2 linked regions of the Xenopus tropicalis genome follow. The protein of the gene in region 2 binds, or shares a complex with, the protein of the main gene of each other region. Links are inferred from orthologs where the notes say so. Each region holds a gene or a part of one and is shown on either strand. Other genes may lie near its edges.

Region 1 (2,635 bases), about 110 Mb from region 2:
CACTGATTTAGACACAGCAGTTTAGCCCTGAAATACCTACGTTAGTATAATGTGTGGCTTAACATCTAAAGGGCTATCTGAGACCAGTGGTACATAGCATAATGTGTCTTTGGCTAATGACAAAGAGAAAACAACCAGCTCCTAAAATACTCAGGACTCGCACAGTCCTCTTCCTCCTCCAGTAGCCAGCTTCCAGCTTTACAGGAATACTGATGCGTTTTTAAAACACATCAGTTAATAGAGCTTCTCACACTTTACTGCTGAGCTGCAAGCAGCCAATCAGCAGAACAATGGGAAGGTAACAAGAAAGCAGTTACCTGGCAGTCATGTCATTTTCTGGTAAATGGCTGGTGAATACTATAGCTCAGAGCTGTTCTGTAAGAAGCAAGGTATTACTTACTGCCAACTGCTAATATCTTGAAAATAAAAAAATAACACTTTTGCAATTATAATAAAGAAATTTGATTCAAAAGTGACATGAAATGTAATACTATAATAAAATATGAAATGCATGCCCAATGATTGGATATAGCATTAAAGAAAACATGTCTATAGATTTAAATAATATATTTTATTATTCTGTTGTCAGCCCATCATTCTACACTTATATCAATGGTGATGAACAGACCTTGCCTTTAGTTTGCACTATTCCATCATGTACTACAAGACAATATTAAAACAGGGAATGGAATAAACAATATCTTCTGAGAGTTCCATGTCTGTGTTTTAGCTGGTAGCAGAAAGACACAAAATATTGTTTTTCATCTTCTTATACAGAGCGAAATGTATAAAGTCTGATGCTTTAAAATACGTAAATTATATATATATAAAAAAATGATAAAAAATAAACAACAGATATTCATTCCTCATAACCAAATGGCAGGCATCTGCAGATTTCCTTTTAGAGTCTCCACAAAACTGTAATCAACGCATAAAAAATATATTACAAATATTCTGTGAACTGTCTTCAGACCTTGACTTGTTGTCTTTATGTCTCTATGAATTGCACTCTTCACAGTGACAAGAAAGTATGTAACGATACGTGGCAGTCATCCTTCTGCCCCCAGAACAACGCAAGCGAATTGCTTTTAGCTTAGAAGTCTGAGGCCGGCAGCAATGACAGGTGGAGCGAAATGGCTGCTTCAATACTGTACTGAAGGAAACAAGTGGATCTGAGCGAGAAGTCTGGCTGCAGCGTCCTTCACAGCGAGCTAGCAGTACCATCTATAGGAAAGCAGAAGAACAATACATATTAAGCAAAGGCACCACATGCACAAATAAAATTCTGTCATGATTTTTATGATGTATTTTTATTACTTAATTACACTGTGTACACTACAAATAATTCATTCTACCATTTAATATGTCATTCTTTAACCAAAAACCAAATGTTTTTAGCTGTAATATTGGTGTGTAGGTGGAATCACAGTGCATTGTGCCTGATTCTGGGCTTTTAGAGGGAGCCAGGGCTACACATTAGAACTGCTTTCAGATAACCTATTGTAGCTCAGTCAACTGGGTGAGTCGGGCTTGGATTTTTACTATTGGGTGCTGCTATCATATCTGCCACTAGGTGGGGCATAGAAGCATTTTTTAGCAATACAGGTATAAGGGAGCTGTTATCTTCATACTTTCCCTTTGTTCAGCTTGGGGAACGGCAGGGGCAGTGATATCACTCCAACTTACAGTGCAGCAGTAGAGATTGACTGAAGTTTATAAGAAAATAAGTCAAATGGCTGAGGGCACCTGGGAAACTATGAATATGTCTAGCCCCATGCCAAAATTTTATATAAATAACCTGCTTGCCCTGCTCCAATAATTGCCCTATTCTTCCCAGCGCTTATTATTCTGAACTCTTTATTAGAAAATACCTTGTAAAACATTGCATCCCGTCACTTCAAATACGGTGATCCAAAGAGATGCAGAATCCACTATGCGACGATCGACATCTCCTCCTAGCCTTCCTTCTGTACAGGCAAACAATTGACTTCGGACTTCCAGAGTCGGGCTAGGAGGAGATGTCGATCGTCACATAGTGGATTCTGCATCTCTTTGGATCGCCGTATCGCTGTATTTGAAGTGATGGGATGCAACGTTTTACAAGGTATTTTCTAATAAAGAATTCAGAATAATAAGCACTGAGAAGGATAGGGCAATTATTGGAGCAGGGTAGAATTGATTTTTACTTAAAAAATTTTATTGTTACTTTTTCTTAAAGTCCCTGAAAAGCACCTATGAAACATGGTTAACATTTAATATAGTTGCATTATTTGTCTGCTGTATGAGCACCTTGGAGCGATACTCTTCCTGTTTTTTTTTTTTCGCACGGGTGCGCACGTGCAGTTAAAAGACGAACTTTAACAAAAAAGCTGGCTTTTTTACTTTACCCCACGTGCGTTGGCCCTGAAGAAAGGAGGGAGCAGAAGAACAGGATATCACTGTTGTGCTCACCACAATAAACCCCACTTCAGGGCACTTTTCTGCTAAAAGAAGCCCTGGGCCAGGGTGTTAGGTAAGTGATTACAATCACTGAGGGGGGCTAATATTTGGCACTTCCAAAGTGATTGGGATTTTCCTTCTCCCACCCTATTGTTATATAACCCTTTACAATGGATACCATTGTATTTTATTTTGC
Region 2 (4,278 bases):
AAAAACGTTGTATGGTTGCCAGGGTACCTTACCTTAGAAACCAGACAATTTCATATCAATAAGAAAAGGGTCTGATGAGTAAGATAACTAATAACAGAGTCAATCAAAAGCCTGCCTTATAGTAAATTGATGAAAATATCAATTTAAAGGTTATGCTTTAGTTTAAATGGAATCCTGGGGGGGCAACATATGGGGGGGGTTCCTGATTAAAGGGGAGCTACACCCAAAAAAAACGTTTAAATGTAATTTTATGCAACTTTCTACTATAAATTCATTAAGCAAACATGCACGTTGATTGTAACTGTAATTGCCACTAGAAGCAGTACCTGCCTGGCTGTTTATATCCTCTGCACTGCAGGTTCAGACTCCGGAAACAATGTAGTCACTTAACAGACCAGACTACTGCTTTCAGAACCACTGAAAATGCTTCACCGGAAAGTTACTTTAATTAAGTTACATTAATCGCTATTTTCTTGAGTGGCGCATTAGAAAGGGCTAGGGCAGAACTGTAAGCTCTTTGGGGCAATGGCCCGAGTTCTGACTGGTGCGGCCACGTGTGTATAAACTGTGCCACTCAGTACACTTGTGGCCCCATGTAAATACATATGTACATACACAGGAACCCCGACACAGGTGTTTCACCCAATGCCCTTTAGGGAGCACTCCGGCTGCTATAAAGTTACAACTCCCAGCACCACTAACAACCTGTAGTAGGCTGCTGGGAGTTTTACACCAACAGCAGCTGGAGAGCCATATACACAGGATGAGTGATCATTTTAGAGTGAAATGTATCCTTTTTTTCAATTTAAAGATAAGCCATTCAGTGGTTAATTCACAGAACGGGCCACTGCACTTGATTGTAAGCTCCTAGGGACAGGGATGTATATGAGAAACAAATGCAATTATGCATTTCTCCTTTCTAGTTAAAAGTCTACTATGAGAAGGAAGGAAATACAGATACAACACAAGAGAAGCTAAAGGGGAACTAAAGGGTAGGTGCAATAAAATGCAGCAAGTGTATATTGTCACATTTTGGGGACGCTGATGCTGATTGTTAAATCCCCAAACAAAATATGATTAGTGGGAGAAATAAAGCCGAAAAATGAAGAAATTCTGCATATATGATATAGATACTATAGCTACTGCCACCCCCGTACACACAGACTACTGTATAATCATCCTTCTCATGAAACTTTCCCCAAAGCTGGGTTTGAATTAACCCTTTCCCTGACACACTCACCGACTAAGAGCAGAGTGAGCTGCATTAAAATCCGATAGTGACACAGAGGCGCCCGAAATGCACTGATTAATCCTAAAAAGGGTGCCTGTCTCCCAGAACCTATTTGGGTGAAGACACACAGGGCTACTAGTAGCAGCTACTTGTCGCGGCTACTAAAATAGACAATGCTGATCATTTACTGATAACTGTCTCTACGTGTGTTTTAGCAGAGGCAATTCTCAGTATTGTCTATGGCAGGGGATTTTCTGGAGTTTAGTAGCCATGAAAAAGTAGCTGCTACTAGTAGCCCAGTGTGTCTTCACCCTAATAAAATAGACAATGCTGATCATTTACTGATAACTGTTTCTGTGTGTGTTTTATTTATTAACATTTTGGAAGAGGCAATTCTCAGTATTGTCTATGGCAGGAGATTTTCTGGAGTTTAGTAGCCGTGAAAAAGTAGCTGCTACTAGTATCTCAGTGTGTCTTCACCCTTTATGTGCAGCCCCAGACATACAGCACAATGTATGAATTAAGCAGAGATGCACTTACACACCTAGAGGTGCAAGAATAAAGTTGCACTTAAAGCCATAGAACCAGTAAAAGAGGTGGGTATGGGCGCTCCCATAGTGTTGTACAGGTTGGAGATCATATAAAGTGAATTCACTTAATGGGGTGCGCTACAAATTGGGTTCCGATATGGATATAGATTGTAAGCTCTACGGGGCAGGGACCTCCATCCTCTTGTGTCTTTGACTCTTAACTTATTGCAACTGTATCTTGAATTTATCTGTATTTATTGTTATACTTTGTATTTATCTATTATCATCTTTAAACTGTTTGTATTAATGCATTCTGCTGCGTACATAAGTAGATATAATACACTAAAGGCGCGTAATGGCAGGGGCGCCGCGTAGGTTGCGCGTATTACCAGAAGTTGCGCAGGGGCTGGAGCGATCGCTAGGCAGCAGGTACCCACCTGGAGCTGACTGGAGCACCCATACTGTATGAGAGGGGTAAAGGTGGTGAGTTGGAGCTCGGCATCTGCTTGCAATTCGTGTCCCACCAGGTTGGGCATTTTGGTGACATTGTAGCCAAGGTTCTGGCACATTGAGATCCTGATGGGGTCGCAGCGCCGCTCCTCTTCATCCCCAAAGCCAGCGATGTGCCCCACAAGGCAGCCCAGGAGGGGCAAACACAAGGCTAAAGCTCTTACTCCCATTATTCAAGGTGTCCCCCCCCCCCAACTCAGTACCAGATCCAAGGGTTCCGACTCCCCAGCTCCCGACCCTGCGACTCCACTGATGGGAAAACCAGACGGGAACAAAAAAAATCGCAGAAGAGAGGAAAAATGTAAATCTCTGAACTTTGTCTGGAACTTTCCCCAAATCCTTTGTCATCCAATAGGGGGGAAAGATAGATGGTGCTACTATCCCGGTGCCAACAACTTGTATGTTCCAATGGGTTCCGCAGCTGTTAGCGCACAAACTGCGCCGCCTGGGTAGCTCCCCTGCACCGTGTAGGTGGACCAGGCTGCGCTGTAGATGTAGGTAGGTCGGGCTGTACTATTCAGGTGGGTAGGGGGGTGCACTATGCAGGTAGGTCAGGCTGCACTGTTACATTCCCTGGGTGCAATGCTCATTGGCAGAGAGCGCAGTTAGACAGCAGCAGCCTCTCCACCTCTAGACCTCTGTCTGCCTCTCTCTCCCCTGCTCCTGCCTGTACTAATGAGGGGAGGAGGCTGGGGAGTGGGTTAGGCACAGAGGGGGAGGATGGTGGGGGCTGCCTTCTCCCAGGGTACGGTATCCAGAGAGGTTCAGTTCAGCCAGGTTCTCAAGTTTCCTCCAGTTTCTTCCCTTCACTCAGCAGTCTGGCTTTTAACCCTCTGTGTGCCTGCCTGGCTTGCAGAGTAGCTAGGGAAAGGGCACCCCTGCAGGCTCTTCTTGCCCTGAAGGGGTTAACGCTGACTGTCTCTGTTTAGTGCTAACTTTCAGGCTGGTATCAGAGCCAGCATCCAGGCTATAATTTTGGGGATTTGGCTGTGGAGTGGAGACTTGATTTCCCCTGCTGAGTTTGGCAGAGTCTGGCTGGGGACTTGTGCTCTGATAGCGCAAATAAACTCCATAATCACAGAAAAATGTGTGAGGGGAAGGACACATGCGTAAAGGGGGGGGGTCGGCGTCTCGGGAAATGTGCAATAAAAATGTATTTAAACATACAAAGTTGGTGGATATGATGGTTCTGTGCAATCCCGCCTTGTTCTGCTGAAACCCAAAGCTGCTCCAGTACTCCTATTGACGAGCAACCGCCTTGGTGCGAAAAGTACCGGAGCCCACACATGGTCCGAAAATTGTACGTAAGTAGGTTTTGTACAATTTAGTCTACTAAAAACATTTAAACAATAATTAAACACAATAGGACTGTTCTGCCCCCAATAAGGGGTAATTATATCTTAGTTGGGATCAAGTACAGGTACTGTTTTATTATTACAGAGAAAAGGGAGTCATTTAACCATTAAATAAACCCAATAGGGCTGTTCTGCCCCCAATAAGGGGTAATTATATCTTAGTTGGGATCAAGTACAGGTACTGTTTTATTATTACAGAGAAAAGGGAATCATTTAACCATTAAATAAACCCAATAGGACTGTTCTGCCCCAATAAGGGGTAATTATATCTTAGTTGGGATCAAGTATAGGTACTGTTTTATTATTACAGAGATCCCTTGCCTGTAGAAGTTGCATGATTGATAAGAGAAAGGGAAATTGACCTTTAAATAATCATTTCGACAATCAGAATGGAGATAGATTTCAAGGAAGGACAATCATTTTTTTAAAATATTATTTTATTTATTCTTAATTCCAGGGTCAGTTTTAGGGTCAGAAAACAAAGTAATTTGCCCAGGGCCCCCCACAATCGCAGGGGACTCCTTTATAGGTAAAGAATATTAAAACGACAAAGGACAGATTCTGTTGTGTAACAGTGGCTAGGTGTAGTCCAAGCCTGCAGCTGCACCTCCTATTGGCAGTTATGGGATTAGAGAGCTGTAGTACAACAACG

What was found.
Region 1: the proteins of fzd4 (region 2) and ndp are in contact, whole or in part, in a crystal structure (PDB 5BQE), measured with the Homo sapiens proteins. The link is inferred for Xenopus tropicalis from reciprocal best matches to the Homo sapiens genes FZD4 and NDP. Residues at the interface, in NP_036325.2 of Homo sapiens: Ser51, Met52, Gln54, Asn55, Leu56, Gly57, Gln95, Phe96, Met105, Thr107, Lys109, Ile114, Asn152, His154, Met157, Cys158, Met159, Glu160, Gly161, Pro162; in NP_000257.1 of Homo sapiens: Asp33, Ser34, Pro36, Arg38, Met40, Arg41, His42, His43, Tyr44, Val45, Asp46, Lys58, Met59, Val60, Leu61, Lys102, Lys104, Leu106, Tyr122, Leu124, Ser125.

Annotation. Positions count from the first base shown.
Region 1 is NC_030678.2:56,030,285-56,032,919, reverse strand, and holds the end of ndp (norrin), read right to left. Parts: intron 1,225-2,635; coding exon 997-1,224; 3' UTR 553-996; downstream 1-552. UniProt on the Homo sapiens protein: Activates the canonical Wnt signaling pathway through FZD4 and LRP5 coreceptor.
Region 2 is NC_030678.2:168,413,902-168,418,179, reverse strand, and holds the start of fzd4 (frizzled-4), read right to left. Parts: upstream 2,964-4,278; 5' UTR 2,442-2,963; coding exon 2,199-2,441; intron 1-2,198. UniProt on the Homo sapiens protein: Receptor for Wnt proteins.